Linked DNA regions of Saccharomyces cerevisiae S288C. The gene in region 1 interacts genetically with each later gene. Each region holds a gene or a part of one and is shown in the gene's direction. Other genes may lie near its edges. The genes, in order: SSK1, STE11, SHO1 and SAC1.

What was found.
Region 2: mutations in SSK1 (region 1) and STE11 impair growth when combined (synthetic growth defect), as found in Saccharomyces cerevisiae (7 studies listed by BioGRID, with this or other methods).
Region 3: mutations in SSK1 (region 1) and SHO1 impair growth when combined (synthetic growth defect), as found in Saccharomyces cerevisiae (7 studies listed by BioGRID, with this or other methods).
Region 4: mutations in SSK1 (region 1) and SAC1 together harm fitness more than expected from each alone (negative genetic interaction), as found in Saccharomyces cerevisiae (3 studies listed by BioGRID, with this or other methods).

Annotation. Positions count from the first base shown.
Region 1 is NC_001144.5:160,388-166,907, reverse strand, and holds SSK1 (mitogen-activated protein kinase kinase kinase SSK1), read left to right. Parts: upstream 1-3,014; coding exon 3,015-5,153; downstream 5,154-6,520. Other genes in the region: RLP24 (ATPase-activating ribosome biosynthesis protein), read right to left, coding at 1-371; PAM18 (Pam18p), read left to right, coding at 825-1,331; Smc5-Smc6 complex subunit NSE1, read right to left, coding at 1,506-2,516; TFIIH/NER complex subunit SSL1, read right to left, coding at 5,474-6,520. UniProt on the Saccharomyces cerevisiae protein: Final receptor of the SLN1-YPD1-SSK1 two-component regulatory system, which controls activity of the HOG1 pathway in response to changes in the osmolarity of the extracellular environment.
Region 2 is NC_001144.5:847,966-852,519, forward strand, and holds STE11 (mitogen-activated protein kinase kinase kinase STE11), read left to right. Parts: upstream 1-1,900; coding exon 1,901-4,054; downstream 4,055-4,554. Other genes in the region: DCR2 (phosphoprotein phosphatase), read right to left, coding at 1-1,159; YLR361C-A (uncharacterized protein), read right to left, coding at 1,418-1,714; NMD4 (Nmd4p), read right to left, coding at 4,530-4,554. UniProt on the Saccharomyces cerevisiae protein: Serine/threonine protein kinase required for cell-type-specific transcription and signal transduction in yeast. It is thought that it phosphorylates the STE7 protein kinase which itself, phosphorylates the FUS3 and or KSS1 kinases.
Region 3 is NC_001137.3:397,452-402,936, reverse strand, and holds SHO1 (osmosensor SHO1), read left to right. Parts: upstream 1-3,881; coding exon 3,882-4,985; downstream 4,986-5,485. Other genes in the region: GLO3 (ADP-ribosylation factor GTPase-activating protein), read left to right, coding at 1-66; YER121W (uncharacterized protein), read right to left, coding at 218-562; phosphatidylinositol-binding protein SCS2, read right to left, coding at 1,068-1,802; AVT6 (aspartate/glutamate transporter), read left to right, coding at 2,095-3,441; 60S ribosomal protein uL14 RPL23B, read right to left, coding at 5,284-5,485. UniProt on the Saccharomyces cerevisiae protein: Plasma membrane osmosensor that activates the high osmolarity glycerol (HOG) MAPK signaling pathway in response to high osmolarity.
Region 4 is NC_001143.9:31,685-37,777, forward strand, and holds SAC1 (phosphatidylinositol-3-phosphatase SAC1), read left to right. Parts: upstream 1-2,858; coding exon 2,859-4,730; downstream 4,731-6,093. Other genes in the region: YRA2 (Yra2p), read right to left, coding at 1-9; DOA1 (Doa1p), read right to left, coding at 276-2,423; TRP3 (bifunctional anthranilate synthase/indole-3-glycerol-phosphate synthase), read right to left, coding at 5,015-6,093. UniProt on the Saccharomyces cerevisiae protein: Phosphoinositide phosphatase which catalyzes the hydrolysis of phosphatidylinositol 3-phosphate (PtdIns(3)P) and phosphatidylinositol 4-phosphate (PtdIns(4)P). Has low activity towards phosphatidylinositol-3,5-bisphosphate (PtdIns(3,5)P2).

The DNA of each region.
Region 1 (6,520 bases):
TTATCTCTTAAGAAGTCCTTTTCTTTGTTACCTCTCATTCTATTCTTGTAGAAGGCTCTTTCACGTTTTTGTCTAATTTCTTCGATTCTAGCCATAGCCTTCAAAGTTGTGGCAACTAACTCTCTATTGTATCTAACAGGGACATTTCTTCTTTGGGCAAAAGTCAAGGTAGAATCCACAGCCAATTCTTTTCCGGCAGCCTTTCTGAAAGCTTTGGTCCATTTTAGTTTTCTTGGGTTACGACGTTGCTTGAATGCCTTGTGACACTTAGAACGGCAGAACCTAAACTCTTTAGCATCGTTACGCACAAACATGATCCCATGACCTGGATAACATGGGGATGAGCAAAAATGGCATTGATAAATTCTCATTTTTTTATACTTACTAAACTTCTACTTCCTTTTCCTTTTAGTTTCTGAATGTAAATCACGGGGAGGTGGTGGTAACAATATGGACAACTCACGCTTGAATAGCAATATCTTTCAAATCACAAGTCGAAGAACTTAAAAGTGGTATATCACGGATCAAGATAGAAACTGATGTAAGTTGGAGATAGGGTGGGATGAGATGAGATGAGTTTAGAAATACATTATTTAATAAAAGACGAGTGAAAATTTTTCACTCCGCTGAGTTCGAGGCGAGCGGGCAAAAAATTTAAAGAGCGAGAATCGGACCAAATGTGAAAGCCATTTGAATCAACGTAGGACTCACTCGACGGAGACCCTTGAACTAGACAAAGTACGAATAGTAGTGGAATTTGTACGTCTCCACTGGCCGAGCACAGTTTAATAAGGTTGCATAAACACTTCCACCCGCACAATATCATGAGTTCTCAAAGTAATACTGGTAATTCTATTGAGGCACCACAACTACCCATTCCTGGTCAAACTAATGGCTCTGCGAACGTTACTGTTGATGGAGCTGGTGTTAATGTCGGTATCCAGAATGGTTCGCAGGGTCAAAAGACCGGAATGGACCTTTATTTTGATCAAGCTTTGAACTACATGGGAGAACATCCTGTGATAACAGGTTTTGGGGCCTTTTTAACTTTATATTTTACAGCCGGTGCATATAAATCAATATCGAAGGGACTTAACGGTGGAAAATCCACTACTGCCTTCTTGAAAGGCGGATTTGACCCGAAAATGAATTCTAAAGAGGCTCTACAGATTTTGAATTTGACAGAAAATACATTGACTAAAAAAAAGTTGAAAGAGGTTCATAGGAAAATTATGTTAGCTAATCATCCTGACAAAGGTGGTTCTCCATTTTTGGCCACTAAGATAAACGAAGCTAAGGACTTTTTGGAAAAAAGGGGTATTAGCAAATAAGGTAAAACGGGAACCTAAAATGAGTTATTGCAATTGCATATATGCCTAATACAAGTGGTATAAACCTCGAACCGTGTTCAATCACATGCCGTTTAGGAGATTAAAATACTTCGGGCAATCAAATGTTTGTATAGATAAGTCTTGTAAATAACACGGAAAGCTATGTATTTTAGTTTAAATAACGTATACGCCCTCTGTGATTAGCGATGAACCGCAACGATCACAATTCTTGCTTACATGGGTAATATAATGCTTGAAACAATCAACATGCCAAATTTGAGACAGACTATTCTCTCCAGTTTCCTCATTCTCTTCTCGGCATGATTCGTTGCCGCACCTGACACCTTGAATTGCCAGCTTGTGGCAATTTTGGCAAGTGTTCAAATTGTACATGGATGTTAGATACTCTTCTAGTTCTGCTATACAGCGAAGATCAATACCGAATTTCCCTTCCTGAGTCCTGTAAAACCATTTCAGTTCGCATAATCGGAGTAGTAAGTCTTCGATGTCCGTTGCTGTTAATTCTTGAAATTGGAAAAGATTGGTGGACCCTACAGTAAACGTACTGAACTTACGCCATTTCGCGAGGTTTGAGTCTCCTGTAGCTGCTACTAGAATACGGTTGACTTCCTTCACAATTATCGAGGTTTCCAGTGCAGGCCCTTCAACGATAGTCTCTCCACTGATCATGAATTGTTCTATGGCCCATTTCATAAACTCGATCTCGTTTTGGTTAAACCTTGTGGCTAACTTAGTCTCTTCTGTTGATGCTAAGTTAACATATACGAAAAACCTGTTACTCTCCGGAAGTACTATCGATTGCAAAACTGCATAATCATTATTGTGAGCCCTTATTGCTGTATTATCTTCGAAGGACTCAAAATTCTGCTTGGCCTTTAAAGTCACTGCGTTTCTACCAATCCCGTGGTTGATCCGAATGATCTTGTAACCCAAAAGGTTCAGTTTTACGTTTATAGCGTTTATATAATCATTTAGCTTGTCGACCCACTGCTGGATCGACCATTCAGTGTTAAGCGTTGAAGCATCGGTTTCCAATCTCATTAGGGCTAGAATGAGAGCATTTTCATGGCAAATGCCTCTTGCTGACAAGATATATTGCAGCAGATATTTTGCTGTAGCATCCCCTGTTACAGGTGCAGAGACCTGCTCTTCATGTACCTCCATTCGCCACGACTACTATCAGACTTCAGTCAGCAATGAATATGTACCGAACCGCATACATATATAGTTATTATTCTCATCTCCATGCCTATAATTATCGCGTTTCTTTTTTTGGTATCCCTTAACCTAATTTCCATTTTCCAATAATTCAAATTCCCTATATTATTGATATCAGTGTCCTAACTATTTTTTTCAGCTTTCCGAAGCCCTAAAAGCGCCCCTGGATTGAATCTTTGACTTTTTTTCTAGTGAATTTAATAGTGGCTATATATTTATAAATAGGTCTGGTTGCCTTTTTGTTAGGAATGACTACATTGAAACTAGCCAAGCTGTGGTTAACTAGTTGGAGACATTGTTTTATTCAGAAAAATTACGTGTTTTGTTAGTTTTAGACCTCAGAATAGCGTTTATTTTGAGTACAAGTTCGGCCGTTTTGTATAAGAAATATTGGAAAGGCTGCTGTAAATCAAAAACGAATCGATTTTGGGGAGACAAGTAAAAATGCTCAATTCTGCGTTACTGTGGAAGGTTTGGCTACGAATAGACAACTCCACTGATGAAGTAAACCAACCAATTGCTGTACAGTTCGATGAAATAGATACTGTTGATGATTTGAAGAGCAGGTTTTTTCAGAAACTGAGTTCGACTCGATGGCGAGAAATTAACGATAATGCTTCCATTGCAATAGGCCTCTACGCACCTAAATTTGACAATCAAGCCGACAATACCAGTAGTAACAACACTAACGATAATAGTTGTCGAAGTAAGAGTAACGGTGCTGGAAGTGGCGCCAACCTTTCCGTTAATAGCAATACCAAGAGTTCAGTGAGCCCCACAGCAGGATCATTTGGTCTTTCAAAAGACCTTGCAAAGGACAGGAATGTTCTCCAGCATCCTAAACCTACGCAGAAAAGAGGAGCATTATACGACGCCTTTGCCGCCGTGCCGACAGTGGCCGCGACTACCAATGTGGATTTTCCTCCCAACGAGGCGCCAATGCTAAGCCCGCAAAGACCATACTCTACTAGTCCTAAACAGTTTCCAGCAACAACTAAAAGTCCGTTACTGCGATTTGCCTCAGTCTCACCCTACCCTAAATTTCATTCTGATAATCAAATTATGGCATCAGCTGGTCTTACATACGTCTCACCGCATAATAAAAATAAATACACAAGGCCGTTGATTAGAAAAGGTTTAAATTTTACCACAGAATCAGTTAATGATTGCACTTATAAAATCATCTTTGAACCGGATGAATTGGCTATTAACATATATAAGGAACTATTCGGAACCATGGGTTCCCAACCTGCATCGCAGCCTTTGCTGATATTTTCGAATGTTAATTTACGCCAGGATGTACCGCCTTTAGATATCTTAAATGTTGTAGACTATGTTCCTACGAATGAAGAAATTTCGCAGCAGAAAACTCAACCAACAGACCATGGGGCCGTTGGTGTTTTTCATCTAGACGACCATATTTCTCCGGGCGAACAAGGTCTTAAGCAAACAATTGGTGATAAAGCAGATCTTAAAGGTAAAGATGGCAATAGCAGCCCTCAGGAATTTAAATTAATAACTGATGAAGAGCAATTGAGAAGAGCGTCACAAGAACTGAAGGATGAGGAAAAGGATGCCGAGTCTCCTTGGCAAGCAATCTTGCTGTTACCAAAAGGTTATAAAGGAGGGGTAGATTTTCGAAATAAACCAGTGGCCCACACGGATTCATCTTTCAATAATGAAGACACAATTACTCATTCAGAGTTAGAAGTGAACACCGGATCCCCTTCGCAAGAAAGCGGATCACTTAATGAAGCTGGTATAGGCATAACGCAACCCATGTCGGAAGTACAAAGAAGAAAAGAAGACGTTACGCCCGCATCACCAATATTAACAAGTAGTCAAACGCCGCATTACTCAAACTCGCTTTATAACGCACCTTTTGCTGTTTCCTCTCCACCAGATCCTTTACCAAACCTTTTTACCACCACAAGTGAAAAAGTTTTCCCCAAAATTAATGTTTTAATAGTTGAAGACAACGTCATCAACCAAGCTATCTTAGGTTCCTTTCTGAGGAAACACAAAATCTCATATAAACTGGCTAAAAATGGTCAAGAAGCTGTTAATATTTGGAAGGAAGGCGGTCTTCATTTAATATTTATGGATTTACAGCTGCCTGTCTTGTCTGGTATAGAAGCTGCCAAGCAGATTAGGGACTTCGAAAAACAAAATGGCATTGGCATTCAAAAAAGTCTCAATAACTCACACTCCAATCTTGAAAAAGGTACTTCAAAGAGATTCTCTCAGGCGCCCGTGATTATTGTAGCATTGACCGCATCTAACTCTCAGATGGATAAAAGAAAAGCACTTCTTTCTGGTTGTAACGACTACCTGACTAAACCAGTGAATTTACACTGGCTTAGTAAGAAAATTACAGAGTGGGGATGTATGCAAGCCTTGATTGATTTTGACAGCTGGAAGCAGGGAGAAAGCCGGATGACCGACAGTGTTTTGGTTAAATCTCCACAGAAACCTATTGCACCTTCCAACCCTCACTCATTCAAACAAGCGACATCTATGACCCCTACACACAGCCCAGTAAGAAAAAATTCAAACCTCTCGCCCACTCAAATAGAATTGTGAGTTTGGTTGTACCGTGTAGAGGACATTATGATAGAATGTAACGATATTTATTCAAAATAATTATTAATATTATTGTAAAACAAAGAATTTTTTTTTTTTTTTTAGTTGAATAAGTGCCTGATAAATTGAAAATAGTAATAAATATTCTTAATGCCGTAAGTGCTATTAAGATTTTCTCGTAATAAACAATAGGACATTAAATGAGGTTATTTTTGTAATAATTATGTAGTTATATGTCCATCAAAAACTATTTCGTTCTCTACTACTTGGATTTGTTATATGATGGAAGAGTGATCGTGTTATACGCTGACAGATTTTCGTTAAGTTATTACGGGCTTGGATTCACAGCCTGGGCAGTTATGAAGGATTTCATGGATGAACACATCGCAGTCAACACAAAATTCTTGTTTACAATCTTCACAACGATAGCGAGAACTTGTCAGTAGTTTACCATTTTTATGGTTTTTCAGTATGGGAAATCTTGACTGGCAACTAAAGCAGTCTTCTGATCGAAATTTTTCTGTTGTAGGTACTTCTGCAAATGTTTTTAACGGCATCAGATGGTGATATGATCTGGCCAGGTGGGTAGAAAGGATTAGCATCAAGTCACAACATGGACAGACTGTGGGCAATGAACAAACTTTACTATGACAATTGGGACAGAAGTATCCGCCGTAAACTAACTTGGAATGGCACGAACAAAAAGTTGGAGTATCTTCGAATATCCTTGTCGGAAACCCCATCTTTACGAGTGTGAAACCCTTATTAATTTTGTTAACGGGTAAAGGGGTAACAGCCTCGTTAAATAGCTCCTTTAAGTGAGTTTCATCGAGTAAAATTTTATAGAAGGATTCATCACCATAATTCGTTGCCTTGCATAATTCTTTACATATGGCCACTTGAGCTGATAACCCCAAAACCTTCACTCTAATTTTCTCAGAAACTAACGAATCGATAGTTTGGTGAATATCTCCAGGATCAGTTGTGGAAAGACTACCAAATACAATCAGTACTTCCCTTGTACAATGCGCAGGAACAGGCAATAAAAGGCCTCTTGCCATTTCCAATGCATTTTGCAATGAAGGGTTTCCTTTCGGTTCTTGTTTCCTGATGGATTTCAACGCATCAATGTGATCCTGCGGGTTTCCGCTAACTTGGCTGACCAGTTGTGCCAAACCGTTTCTCATTATGATAATACCCATTTGAGATATCGGATTTTGGTCGAAAAATTCATGGACAAAATCTATGGCGTACTGGATAATCATGGCATGCCTGTTTGGTCTCAAATCCTTTTCCAACATAGCTTCACTACAATCTAGTGTTAATATTAAACTTCTGATAATACCTCTTTGGTATGGCGTTATGTT
Region 2 (4,554 bases), 690 kb from region 1:
CATTGTTCGAAAAAATCTGATAAATATAATTACCAACGCCAAACGTATTATCGTGTGTATCATGGGGACTAAACTTGAAAAGGGAATATGGTAGTACTGAAGCTATTTCGGATAACTGCCAGCGCGTTAAGCTTCCCTCGTCGTCGTGATTTCCCCATACCATTGCCCACGGAATTTTTCTTGCAATGACGGGTGCTACCGCCTTTAATAATACGGTTTCAGAGTCTTGAATAGATCTATCACCCATGATTTGGTCACCAGTAAAAACAACCAACTGCGGTTTTTCAATGTCAAGAACTTGTTGAACGAAAGTTTCCGTTTTTGGATCTGCCTTGCAAGCTTCATGCTTTGGATACTCATCGATACATTCAGACTCCCCCACACCCAAGTGGAGATCCGCCAACTGAACAATTTTGAACTTTCCTTCATCAGTTTCTTGCAGCCGTTGAGCTCCTGTGTCTACAGGACGAGTACCAACGAATTTGTAAGTCAAATAAGCAGGTTCGCTGTAGCGGTATTTTACTAAGGGAAATTCTTTTTGAAGAGTCCAATTTGCTATCGGCTGGATGCAATCAACACCAAAGAGAATGTTAATATCGCTTATGTAGCTCCTTTTCTGCAATAGTTCTATGCTAATAGGCTCGAATGTGATGGATACATCCATAAAGGGTAGCGATTTGTCTTTAGGATATTTGGAAATTCCAGTTACTGCCTCAACATTTAGCTTTTCTAGGTTGGATCCAAAGTAGTCCACCAAAGCAGGGTATAACACATCATAGTAAAGGTATTCTGACTTTCCAAACCACCTGCGTCCAAAGGAACCTCTCAAGTCTTTATGAATTCTTTTCCTTTGTAAGTATTGGTGCCCATCAGTTAAAGTTGATTTAAGTTCATGCCGATTAAAACATCCTTCATAAAAACGACCAATATGAAAACATTCGTCATAGCCTATATTTACAACTAGCTTATCGTCATTTGAGAATCCCTCTAGACCTTTATTTTGGAACCATAGATTATCAACGTGTGATATCGGGAGTGCAAGGTCGAAACCAATGTGCTCTTCAACTCTTGGCGCCTGTAGGAAGTAAAATAGGGCAATCACTACAAAAACTACCAAGTATAATAGGTACCTTTGATACAGCCTCGGTAACCGGATCATGTTAAGATTTTTAACCACGGTGCTGGTCTTCGATACTTAAGTATAAAACTTGTATCAGAGGTATCTGCGATCTAAAAAGATTAATTTTTGAAAAAGATCAACACTAAACCATTTGAAATTCAAAAAGCACCTAAGGCAAAATATAAATCTAAATATACGTAAAATGGAAACACTTTCTGCGCAGCTTTATACAAGTTAGCCTTCTAGCTTATGAAATAGAAATGAAATATAACTGAGCAAGTCCTATATACAATACTATTAATGATCTTCTTGTCCATGAGACTGTTCATGGTGCCTTTTAGAGACTTCTTCATCACTTATCTGAGGCCTGTGGCCACCCGTTCTCAATAAACCACCGGCAGTATCTTCAACTGGAAATCTTGCACTGGGTCTTACGCAATGGGGCTTGCGTAACTGTTCAAAATCCATGATTTTAGTTTTCCCTCCCCCTTTTAAAGTAATCTTTGGATTCTCGCCCAACTTTTCCTCCACTTCTTTTATATTTTGGGTGCGTTCTTTACTATTATTATTATTATTATTATTACTAACTGCCATTATAGTTTCTTTATGCTGTCCTCACCATGCCTTTCGTTATCAGGCTAGCATTAAAAGCCTTTTAAGGTGTAAAGCTTTCGCCGCGATGGCTTTAAACAGTAGAAAATATTCATATTTACACACATGCATAAAGAGAGACCACTTAATAAAGCTAGTATGATAAGATCACCGGTAGACGAAATATACATGGAACAGACACAAACAGCAGAGGGCACTGACTTACTAATTGGTGACGAAAAGACCAACGATTTACCTTTTGTGCAGTTATTTCTGGAGGAAATAGGATGCACTCAATACCTGGATAGCTTTATTCAGTGCAACCTTGTCACAGAAGAAGAAATTAAGTATCTCGACAAGGATATCCTCATTGCTTTGGGTGTAAACAAAATAGGAGACAGACTCAAAATTTTAAGGAAGTCAAAATCGTTCCAGAGAGATAAACGGATTGAACAGGTGAATAGATTGAAAAACCTGATGGAAAAAGTAAGCTCTCTATCCACTGCTACGCTATCGATGAATTCAGAATTGATTCCTGAAAAGCACTGTGTTATATTTATCTTAAACGATGGTTCCGCTAAGAAAGTTAATGTAAATGGTTGCTTTAATGCAGATTCTATTAAGAAAAGGCTAATCAGAAGATTGCCACATGAATTATTAGCCACAAACTCCAATGGAGAAGTAACTAAAATGGTCCAAGATTATGATGTGTTTGTCTTAGATTATACCAAGAACGTACTGCATTTGCTATATGACGTGGAATTAGTCACTATTTGCCACGCAAATGATCGTGTTGAGAAAAATAGGCTAATTTTTGTTTCCAAAGACCAAACACCAAGTGATAAAGCTATATCCACATCCAAAAAACTATATCTAAGAACGTTGAGTGCATTGAGCCAGGTTGGGCCATCCTCGTCAAATTTGTTGGCACAGAACAAGGGGATTTCGCATAACAATGCTGAAGGGAAACTCCGGATCGACAACACAGAAAAGGACAGAATTAGACAGATTTTTAATCAGAGGCCTCCTAGCGAATTTATTTCTACCAATTTGGCCGGATATTTTCCTCATACAGACATGAAGCGGTTGCAAAAGACGATGAGAGAGTCATTTCGCCATTCAGCAAGGCTAAGCATTGCTCAAAGAAGACCTTTAAGTGCAGAATCAAATAATATCGGTGACATACTATTGAAACACTCAAACGCTGTTGATATGGCCCTATTACAAGGATTAGATCAGACAAGATTAAGCAGTAAACTTGACACAACTAAAATTCCGAAGCTTGCCCATAAAAGGCCAGAAGATAATGATGCCATATCTAACCAGTTAGAACTATTAAGTGTAGAGTCTGGTGAAGAAGAAGATCACGATTTCTTTGGGGAGGACAGTGACATTGTTTCATTACCGACGAAAATTGCCACGCCCAAGAATTGGTTAAAAGGTGCTTGCATTGGATCAGGCAGTTTTGGGAGTGTTTACTTGGGCATGAATGCTCACACTGGTGAACTAATGGCAGTAAAGCAAGTGGAGATAAAAAATAATAACATTGGTGTTCCCACAGACAACAATAAACAAGCCAATTCTGATGAGAATAATGAGCAGGAGGAACAACAAGAGAAAATAGAAGATGTTGGGGCGGTAAGTCATCCAAAAACCAATCAAAATATTCACAGAAAGATGGTTGATGCTTTACAGCATGAAATGAATTTATTGAAGGAGTTACATCATGAGAACATTGTTACTTATTATGGTGCTTCTCAAGAAGGCGGAAATTTAAATATTTTTCTTGAATACGTTCCTGGGGGTTCGGTTTCCTCCATGCTGAATAATTACGGTCCATTTGAGGAATCACTGATTACTAATTTCACTAGGCAAATACTGATTGGGGTTGCGTATTTGCATAAGAAGAACATTATTCACAGAGATATCAAGGGTGCAAATATTTTGATTGATATCAAAGGTTGCGTAAAAATTACTGATTTTGGTATTTCAAAAAAATTATCACCTTTGAATAAAAAACAAAATAAGAGAGCTTCTTTGCAAGGTTCCGTATTCTGGATGTCACCAGAGGTGGTCAAACAGACCGCTACTACTGCTAAAGCGGATATATGGTCTACAGGATGTGTTGTCATTGAAATGTTTACCGGTAAGCATCCTTTCCCAGATTTTTCTCAAATGCAAGCGATCTTCAAAATAGGCACAAACACGACCCCCGAGATACCTTCCTGGGCTACGTCAGAAGGAAAGAATTTCTTAAGAAAGGCATTTGAGTTGGATTATCAATACAGGCCTAGTGCCCTTGAATTGCTGCAGCATCCATGGCTGGATGCACACATAATTTGAAAAAGGGCTACTTATTAATTCTTTTTATGGCACTAAAGTGCTCTGGCCGATTTTTTATCAAATAATACATATATATCATATTTAGTGACATTTATTGAATATATCTGCTATTTACCGGTTTTTTTTTTTCAATTACGCTGATTAAGTAATCATAAATCACAATTGTGAAAAAAAGACCAAACTAGATGACGGTATTTGATTCTCATACCCCTGGAATAAAATCAAGTAAGATAATTCTGATAAAAAAATCCGACCGCACAGATGGAAGCACGAAGAAACAGGCCTTTCTTTGCGAGGTGATATCAAACCATTGATATCTTCTCAATAACCTGCTCTAGGAAAAGGAGGTAGATAGACAAAAGCAAGGAAATAATCCATAGAGTTTCATTCACATGAATAATCTGTTACCAATTTTTCTCATAAGATAAAGCCATCTATCAAAAATGATATTGAAATATTTGAAAAATGCTTGTTTTTATGGGGACCACAATTCGCCTGTA
Region 3 (5,485 bases), on another chromosome or scaffold:
AGAGACGTTGTAGAACAGGGTGCTGAAAAACTCGGTAGTTATTTAAGGGACTACTTAAGAAAATAAGTTTAATTTTCTCTTTAATTGAATTTTTTTTTTTTCATTGTTATCATTGTTTTTTATTCTCATTTTTCATTATATGATAATTATATTTATGGTACATAGAAACGGTTGTATATGCATTGTACGTGCGTTTATTCTTATTCTTCATCCCCCCTTATCTTAGTTTAAGGTTTCTAAAATCGAAAGTTTCATGTGCGTATGAAGCGGTTGAAAATGCAGACGAGGTAGCATTTGGTTCATTAGCATTATAAACACTTTGCTTTAAAGAAGGTAAGTTATTTTCGACATCTCTGTTTCTAATTGCTTCATCGTCCACATAGGGAGAGTCTATACCCACTTTCCAAAACGAGTTCATTACTTGATTACCATATTCGTTAGAAACACTTGCATTTAAACTATCACTTGCCGCAAGGGCGTAGTAGTGCGCATCCTGTTGCATTTCTTCGCTCTTTTCCTCTGCTGGCCTTGAATTCTTGTCGTGCCAGCGCGATAAGCCCATGTTACTATATTGTCAATATGTGAGTCCCTCGTTCACTATGAGACCTAGCAAAAAACAAACTGAAAGTAGGTGGCTGTTTATGTATTCATTTATTTATGGACCTTTTAGGCGCGACCCCCTCGCAAGATCTTCGTTAATGTGCATCCAAGACCCTCCCCTCATTTAGTAGACCCCGCATTGTTATGGTTAATAACGGATAGTTATTTGCCCAAGATAGCGCCTACTACACTAGGGAAACCGAACATGAATAAATTAAACAAGTAATATGTTACAACAGTGGTATAGTTATCGATTATTCTCCTATTTAAAAAATAAAACATATAAAAAAGTTAGGAAAGTATGATCTTTTAGTTCCTTGTTCTAGTATTGTAAAGGCTACAGAAGGAAACAATAAAAAAAGATTGTAGAAAAACAAAGTAAAATAAAGACTGAAAGGAAGGAAAGGGCAAAACACACACATATATAAATATATATTTAGAATACAGCTATATCCTCAATCTCCCTATTATCTGTAGAACCATCCTAAAACCAAGATAAGGAGTGCAACCAATATGAATATACCCATGCTGGATGATTCATTTTCTGCAGGTACGGTTGCGGCTTCCTTTATCTGGTTCTGTGGGGCCGGAGTGCTGTTGGACGTTTGCTTCTCATTTTCATGAGGAACGGTTTTCTGAACGACAGGTGGGACCTCTTCTTTCTTTACTTGGACGGGAGGTTGAGTTTCCGGTTCAGCAGGGACCTCCTTTTCGTTTACCACAGCAGGCACTTCCTTTGGCTCACTGTCTTGGACTACTGGTTCAACAGTTTCCTTGTTTTCCTGTATATTTTGGTTCTGTGCTGGGTGTACATCTGGACTTATCAAATATTTGACTTTTATCTTTTTAGAGATAGCCTGTTGCTTGAACTCAGCCTCCAAGTCGGACCAAACATCTGCAACAGCCTTGCCATTGAGGTCGTAAGGAGAAGGCAACGTGATAACCAGGAACTTGTCACGGCACTTAAAGTCTGCGGCAGGCTCTTCAGTCAAACCCAGGAAGATAACTTGAACCTGGATTGTTTCACCTGGAGCAACAACTGCGGCGTTTGGTCTCACGCAGTAAAACTTTGGGGCTGTGGTCTTGACCTTAAATGCAATGGTTTGGTCTGAATTGTTGGAAATACTAGCGTATTCTGTCGATTGCTCCGTTAATGGAGACTTATACACCAACACGTCAGGGGAAATTTCAACAGCAGACATACTTAGGTTCGCGGAGATTGTAGAATACCCTTCTGCTACACTATTAACACAGAATGTGCGTCAAACCACACCACACAATAAACAATGCACTTTGCTACTAAAACCATTCTATTCACCTTGCGAAAACAACAAGCGAAAAAAAAAAAGCGAGGGCGAAAGAGTAAGATCACCACGCACGTTTAGGGGATCGGAGAGCTTATCTATACAGCAACTAGAAGTATATAGAACAACAATGGTCGAACGACGGGTTAGTTTCACAGCTCAATAACCATAGAAAGGAATCGTGCATCATATGGTAGCTAGTATTAGATCAGGTGTGCTGACACTTTTACACACGGCGTGCGGTGCTGGTATCCTGGCCATGCCGTACGCATTCAAGCCGTTTGGATTAATTCCTGGAGTGATAATGATAGTGCTGTGTGGGGCGTGCGCTATGCAAAGCTTGTTCATACAAGCTCGTGTAGCTAAATACGTACCACAGGGGAGGGCCTCGTTCAGTGCTCTGACGCGGTTGATTAACCCAAATCTAGGTATTGTGTTTGACCTAGCGATCGCTATCAAGTGTTTTGGTGTGGGCGTCTCTTATATGATTGTAGTTGGGGATCTGATGCCCCAAATAATGTCTGTGTGGACCAGAAATGCTTGGCTGTTGAACAGGAACGTGCAAATTTCACTGATCATGCTTTTTTTCGTGGCCCCGCTGTCTTTTCTGAAGAAGTTGAATTCGTTGAGGTACGCTTCCATGGTGGCCATCTCTTCTGTAGCGTACTTGTGTGTTTTGGTGTTGTTGCACTATGTAGCACCATCAGATGAGATTCTTCGCTTGAAAGGCCGGATCTCCTACCTCCTGCCACCACAATCGCATGATTTGAACGTGCTAAACACTCTTCCAATTTTTGTCTTTGCCTACACATGTCACCACAATATGTTTTCAATAATCAATGAGCAGAGGTCAAGCCGGTTCGAGCATGTGATGAAGATTCCACTGATAGCAATATCTTTGGCTCTCATCTTATATATTGCGATCGGCTGTGCTGGATACCTGACATTCGGCGACAACATCATTGGAAACATTATCATGCTGTACCCGCAAGCGGTCTCGAGCACCATCGGCAGAATAGCGATTGTGTTGTTGGTGATGCTGGCGTTCCCACTACAGTGTCATCCTGCAAGAGCTTCAATCCATCAGATTTTGCAACACTTCGCCGAGGAAAATGTAAGTATAAGTGCTACATCGGCGGATGAACCCACTGTTGCTACCGAAAGTTCTCCGTTGATTCGCGACAGTAGCCTTGACCTCAATGAGGTAATTGAAGAAGAATCTATTTATCAGCCTAAGGAGACTCCATTGAGAGGCAAGAGCTTTATTGTTATAACGTGCAGCATTTTAGTTGCATCATATCTTGTCGCCATTTCGGTTTCCTCCTTGGCCCGTGTACTGGCCATTGTTGGGGCCACAGGCTCCACTTCTATTTCTTTCATTCTGCCCGGGCTCTTTGGCTACAAGCTTATAGGAACTGAGCACAAGACAGCCGTGCCATTGACGACAAAGATTTTCAAATACACAGGTCTTCTCTTGTTTATCTGGGGGCTAATAATCATGATCACCTGCCTGACCGCAGCTTTGAAGCTAAACTAAATAAGCAAGAGTATACTCATTCTTTTTTTGCTATTCCTCCATACGTACATAGACCCTTGAACCTACATATCCGCGTAAGAAACTATTAATAACCTAGCACCTGCGTTAAATCAGAAATTCTTAATCGCGTTTTACATTCCCAACGCGTTCAATCTATTTACACACAACAGCTTTCGGAGTCGGGCTTTTGCTTCATACGTATTATAAAAATTTCAGCGATTGCTGAAATATGCAAAGAACACAGGAACACGAATAAAGTCATTGAGCCTCGTTTTCAGTGAGGTATCATTGTCTATCATATCAGCTTTCTTTGCTCAACAGAATCGCTAAAAGAAAGGGCGTGTTATTAACAGTAGCCAACCCAATAATTTGAAAACAACATTGGACATTATAGATCAACGCCATCTTTTCAGAAACACCAAAAATCACGTTTTCAAAATATGTCAATATCATCAAAGATAAGACCAACTCCTCGTAAACCTTCACGTATGGCTACCGACCATTCTTTTAAAATGAAAAAATTTTATGCCGATCCTTTCGCTATATCATCAATTTCTTTGGCAATTGTATCGTGGGTCATCGCCATCGGGGGCTCCATCTCATCTGCATCCACCAATGAATCCTTCCCACGTTTTACTTGGTGGGGTATAGTATACCAATTTCTAATTATTTGTTCTTTAATGCTGTTCTATTGTTTTGATTTAGTCGATCATTACAGAATCTTCATCACCACATCTATTGCAGTGGCATTTGTGTATAATACAAACAGTGCAACGAATTTAGTGTATGCGGATGGTCCCAAGAAAGCTGCTGCTTCAGCAGGTGTCATCTTACTTTCCATCATAAATTTAATCTGGATTCTGTACTACGGCGGTGATAATGCTTCCCCAACCAATAGATGGATTGATTCGTTTTCCATTAAGGGTATCAGGCCTTCGCCATTAGAGAATTCTCTTCATAGAGCTCGTCGAAGAGGCAATAGGAACACAACGCCTTACCAAAATAATGTCTATAATGATGCTATACGAGACTCAGGCTACGCGACACAGTTTGATGGATATCCACAGCAGCAACCTTCTCACACAAATTATGTATCTTCTACGGCATTGGCTGGTTTTGAGAATACTCAGCCAAATACTTCAGAAGCCGTTAATCTTCACTTGAACACTCTACAACAACGTATCAATAGCGCAAGCAACGCGAAGGAAACCAATGATAATAGCAATAATCAAACCAATACTAATATAGGTAATACGTTCGATACTGATTTTTCAAATGGCAATACGGAAACTACGATGGGAGACACTTTGGGTCTGTATAGCGATATCGGTGATGATAATTTCATTTACAAGGCAAAAGCACTGTACCCATACGACGCTGATGACGATGATGCTTACGAAATCTCATTTGAACAAAATGAAATCCTACAAGTCTCTGACATTGAAGGCAGATGGTGGAAGGCAAGAAGGGCAAACGGTGAAACAGGTATTATTCCAAGCAATTATGTTCAACTAATCGATGGTCCAGAAGAAATGCATCGTTAATGATTAACAATCTTATAGCATGGATTCTCGAGTCAAAGGAAAAAAATAAAGAAACCTATCTTTATGACCCTCTACAGTAATGTTTTGAAGAATATAGTTCTGTAATTGTAGGAAAAATCATTCTTATGTATTATGTTTACTCTAGGATGTTCACAAAGAAAAAGGCAACCGCTTCACTGAAATATTCTCCAACAATGTATATATGCACTCTCATGTCATTGACTTGACTTGGATTGTTTATATTAATATTTTAAAAGGTTACATAATGATTTAAAAGAATTTTTCTTGGAAATTTTATTTAAACAACAACACCAGAGTTGGAAGCAACTCTTGGCCATAAGTCGGCACATTCCTTACCGACTGGACCAGTAATGGCAGAACCCTTCATTTCACCCTTAGGATTAGCGATGACACCAGCATTGTCCTCGAAGTACAAAAAGACACCGTCTCTTCTTCTCCAAGACTTAGCTTGACGGACAACAATAGCTGGCATAACCTTC
Region 4 (6,093 bases), on another chromosome or scaffold:
TTTGTCCATTGCAAAATGCAGTATTGAATCGTCTAATGGAAAAGGTACTAGACGCTTATCGTTTCAGTTTTTTAGTCTTTTCCATCTATTTATCAGTCTGTACTCAAAATAACCTTATTGTATGTAACCTTTTTCATTTCACGATGATAATTTCTTGCCGAGTTAGACAGAAAATGACCGTGATAGTTTGTCATAATTTTCAATAGGGCAGAAAGAATTTTAAAGATTATTTGCTATCTAGACATTATGTGTTTTATATGATTGCTGTAAAAGTATTAGGAGAGATCGTCGAAAATATCCTTAAACCTTGGCACGTTCCCATAGCTCCTTTTGATGTTTGCAAGCCAAGTTACGGAGTTGGCAAATTGTCTTAATGTAGGTTCAACAGTAGCCAAATTTCCGTAAGCTACGGTTAGCCTATATGCGGCTTCTTCGCATTCTTGATACTCTTCCAATGGCCCATACTTGGTGTTGATGGCGTCAGCTACGATAGGCAAAAGTTCTAAATCAGAGTTCCCTTTCGTGACGAGAGCTGAATAGTTGAAAATTAGTGTGGAAACTGCAATAGCCAAATTCTGTGACTGTTTAGCAGATGCCTGAGAAAATTCAGTATCTATAGTCTCAAAAATTGATTTATAAACTTGATTTGATTCCAGTAATTTCACACCCCAGTTTTCATTATTGAAGCAATTTACCAAAATACGCACAGTTAACATGGTTAGAGTGATATTCTTATTGCCCAAGCCTTCTTCGATGTAATCTTTTATATCTGAAGAATAAGGTAATTTTTTTACAATCAATCGTACTATGTCGTATGCAGGAGTCTTAATTTCCCAGTTAGATCTTATAGTGTTAGCAAATGAAAGTAGCAACTCCCAGCTTTCATCTATGTCATGTAGTGCGCCACCAATTTGCGCCAGAATTTCATCATCAAAGGTCTTCTCATTTGAATTTATTTTTACTATTCCATTGAAAATAGTATCTGGGTTATAATTTTCCATGATAAGATACTGCTTGACAGGAAGAACCTTCATTACGCTCGTTTTTGAAGGTGATACTGCAGAAGATGATGCATTATCGTTGGGCTGGTCTAGCGATATGCCATTAGTGTTCTTCAGTATGAACTGTACTACTTGATCCCTATAACTCATTGGCAGTTCATAACGAGCCAAAAAATTGTCGGCTGCTGTATATGGGTTGTCGCTGACATTAATCGGCAATTTCAAGGGAGGTTTTCCATCTTCAATATCCACATCAAATACGTAGTCATACGTTTTACCCTCGAATTCTATTTTTTTGTCGTTTCCAGTAGCACCTGCACCGACAACATCACCAACCTTTTTCCATGAAGAATTTGAAAATTGATGAGCTTCTATAGTACCTTGAGGTGATTTGACTACCACAATTTGACCCTCTTTGCGCCCCGGCGATTGTAAAATTTCATAAGGTGATAGTTTAGACTCATCAAATTCTATTGTCTTGGAACTTATAGTGGATTTTTCCACTTGCGTAGATAGTTCATTTATTTCATCCTCGGAAGCCCATCTTGACTTCTCTTGCGAAAATATTCTCACAAGATTATCACTACTTCCCACAATAATATCACCATTAGACATACAATCAACGGACCAAATAGAGATGGCAGGAAGTGTAATTACCTGCTTTAACGAACCATTTTCCTTTGACCATATACGGACTGTTCGGTCTTCGCCGCAGCTTACAATATCTCCATTGGGCAGCAGTTTAATGCAATAAACAAAGCTTTCATGGCCTTCATATGTTCTTAGTACGTCACCTGTATGCATATCAACCAACTTGATGAGGCCATCGTTTGAACAACTGATAAAATGGCCATCATCCACCACAGCTAAATGTCTTACTACATCATTGTGAATCCCACTGAAAGTTTTGATCACTTTATCGTTTTGCCACAGTTTAATCGTCTTATCGGCGGAAGCTGTCAAGAATTTATTTTCTGAGAAGGATACGACTTTGGCATCCCATACAGAGGCATTGTGTGCTTGCAAATTGTAAACCAACGATCCTTCTTTCCAAACCTTTGCGGTTTTGTCCCAACTACCGCTTATCACAACACCATCTTGGAAGGATAAACTACAAACGTTCCCTTGGTGGCCAATCAAGGTATACAAGGGATCCTCTCCTGAGGTGGCAAACAAGGGCACACCGTTGATCATAGTATCCTTACCTCCAAAAAGCAACAACTCCTTCTCGGAATCATAACACACACTATTTAAAAATCCTTGTCCTGTATAAACTACCGTACCGAGCCATTGGTCATCTTTAGACCACAAGCGAACTGTTCCATCCCTCGAAACACTAGCAACCTTTGAATCATCCACAGCTACCACATCCCTGACGTCCTGATCGTGCCCTTTAAGTGTTGCACTCAATTGATATCCCATACTCCAAATCTGCTGCTCTACACCTTACTATCACACATGAATATATATATATAAAATAAGCCAAGACAGTGGCCTTCCCTTATTATCAGCGTACTAAAATCTCATATGATTTATTTTTCGTGGTCCTGAACGAGTGTGAAAAATTTTGAAAAACTCGCAAAGGAAATGCCAAGGTCAGCAACTTTCTCGACGTCCAAGCCTCGCTCCTATTGTTTTAGTAACCTGTAGACCTTCAATATTCAAGAGCTTGCACACGCACGCATTGCTGCACTACTGCTTACCCACACTACAAATTTAATTCCAGCTTATTGAAGTTGAAAAGGCAAGGGAAAAATACCACAGGTTTAGATAAGGAAATAGGAGAAAGGATTAGAAACCATATCCCTATAACAGTAACGATAATATTTATATACACGTATATTTTCTCGTCTAGATATGACAGGTCCAATAGTGTACGTTCAAAATGCGGACGGTATCTTCTTCAAGCTTGCTGAGGGCAAAGGAACTAACGATGCTGTTATTCACTTGGCCAATCAAGATCAAGGTGTTCGGGTCCTTGGAGCAGAGGAATTTCCTGTGCAAGGTGAAGTAGTAAAGATTGCGTCCTTGATGGGGTTCATTAAGCTAAAGTTGAACAGGTATGCCATTATCGCAAATACTGTGGAAGAGACCGGTAGATTCAATGGCCACGTTTTCTATAGAGTGTTGCAACATTCTATCGTATCTACCAAGTTTAACTCGAGAATCGATTCTGAAGAAGCCGAATATATCAAGCTACTGGAGTTGCATTTGAAAAATTCCACCTTTTATTTTTCATACACATATGATTTAACAAATTCCTTACAAAGAAATGAAAAGGTTGGTCCTGCAGCCTCCTGGAAAACCGCTGATGAACGATTCTTTTGGAACCATTACTTAACTGAAGATTTGAGAAACTTTGCTCATCAAGATCCTAGAATTGACTCCTTTATACAACCTGTTATCTATGGGTATGCCAAGACAGTGGACGCCGTTTTGAATGCCACCCCTATCGTTCTTGGTTTGATTACCAGACGTAGTATATTTAGGGCGGGCACAAGATACTTCCGTCGTGGTGTTGACAAAGACGGTAACGTTGGCAATTTCAATGAAACTGAGCAAATTTTACTCGCTGAGAATCCAGAGAGTGAAAAAATACACGTTTTCTCCTTCTTACAGACAAGAGGATCTGTGCCAATATACTGGGCTGAAATCAACAACTTGAAGTACAAGCCAAATCTTGTTCTTGGAGAAAACTCATTAGATGCGACAAAAAAGCATTTTGACCAGCAAAAGGAGTTATATGGCGACAACTACTTGGTTAACCTAGTCAACCAAAAGGGCCACGAACTACCCGTGAAAGAGGGCTATGAATCAGTCGTGCACGCGCTAAACGATCCGAAGATTCACTACGTGTATTTTGACTTCCACCATGAATGTCGTAAGATGCAATGGCATAGAGTGAAATTGTTAATTGATCACCTGGAGAAATTAGGTTTATCTAACGAAGATTTCTTCCACAAGGTCATAGACTCTAATGGTAACACCGTTGAAATTGTTAATGAGCAACATTCCGTTGTAAGAACAAACTGTATGGATTGTTTGGACAGAACAAATGTCGTTCAATCTGTTTTAGCCCAGTGGGTTTTGCAAAAGGAGTTTGAAAGTGCCGATGTCGTTGCTACTGGAAGCACTTGGGAAGACAACGCTCCATTGTTAACTTCTTACCAAAACTTATGGGCTGATAATGCAGATGCAGTTAGTGTGGCATATTCGGGCACTGGAGCTTTGAAGACCGATTTCACAAGAACCGGTAAGCGTACACGTCTAGGTGCATTCAACGATTTTTTGAATTCAGCATCACGTTATTACCAGAACAATTGGACTGATGGTCCAAGACAGGATTCATACGATTTATTCCTTGGTGGATTTAGACCACATACCGCTTCTATCAAGTCGCCATTCCCCGACAGAAGACCAGTGTATATTCAGCTGATCCCAATGATCATTTGCGCAGCCTTGACCGTTTTAGGTGCTACGATATTTTTTCCTAAAGATAGATTTACCAGCAGTAAGAATTTGCTGTATTTTGCAGGTGCGTCGATTGTCTTGGCGCTTTCAACCAAATTCATGTTTAAGAACGGTATTCAGTTTGTCAACTGGCCTAAGTTAGTAGACGTTGGGTTCTTGGTCGTTCATCAAACGCATGATAAAGAACAACAATTCAAAGGTTTGAAATATGCACAGAGTCCTAAATTTTCCAAGCCGGATCCTTTAAAAAGAGATTAATGAGTTCTATATGTGATAAAATGATGATTATTGTAAATCCAAAACGTAAAACCGAAAATATGATAAAAACGAGAAAAAAAGTAAGTTAAAAAATAAAAAAATAAAAAAATGAACGCCGGCCCCAGAGGGAAGAACAAGCTATTTATTTTCTTTTTTACTTTATCTTTCATGGTCATATATATATATATATATATATATATATATCTTCTATAGGCTACTATACATGAAGGCGTTCGCCCTTACAACGTTAAGTTTTTTTCCCTATTGTACCGTGTAAGTTTCAATTATTCGCATAATTCATGAATGAACTTCTTCACATCGGTTGATTTCATTAGGGCTTCACCCACTAAAAATCCATGGACACCTTCTTTTTTGTATTTTTCAGCATCGTCCCTGGTGGTAATTCCCGATAGAGCAATTAGAAGAACATCCTTTGGAATAGATTCTACCAAGTTACTGGTGGTATTTAGGTCTACGTTGAATGAATGCAGGTCCCTATTATTGACACCTACAACTTTAGCACCAATTTCTAGAGCCCTTTGTAATTCCTCTTTGGAGTTCACCTCAACGAGAGGTTCCATGTTCAAATCTTTACTGTAGCTGTACAGTTCCTTCAATAAGGGTTGAGATAGCATCTTGACTATAAGAAGGACAGTGTCAGCTCCAGCTAATCTTGCTTCTAGTATTTGATACTTGCTGAAAATAAATTCTTTTCTCAAAACACAAGGCCTCTCCTTGGGAGGAAATTTCAAATCTAGGATTTTCCTCACATTTACTAAATCCTGTAACGAACCGTGAAACCAATGAGGTTCGGTCAATACGGAAATTGCGGATGCACCAGCCTCTGCGTATTTGAGAGCCTGTTCAGCAGCAACAGCTTTTAAACAAATGGGTCCCTTCGATGGAGAGGCACGCTTGACTTCAGCAAGAACAACGGCTCTTTTATGGGATGATGACAACACCGTGTAGAAATCCTGTAACGGTGGGGCAAGACCTAAATCATAGTTAGATTGTAAGTCTTGAAAGGTGAAACCTGGGATTTTAGACTGCTCATTGACGTCTATTTTACGCCGAGCATAGATACGGTCCAAAATAGAATTTGAAGGAGATGATTTGTTTTCCTCCCAAGTGCCTCCACTGACGTTTAAAATGTTCCTGATCATCAGATGACCTTCCTCGGTCAAGATGGATTCCGGATGAAATTGCACACCTTCTACAGTGTACTTCTTGTGTCTTACACCCATGATAATTCCATTTTCGGTACTCGCAGTAACCTTCAAGCAGGATGGTAGGGACGATTCTGTCCCGGCCAATGAATGGTATCTTGTCACAGCAATACCTTGCGGCACGTTCTTGAAAATTC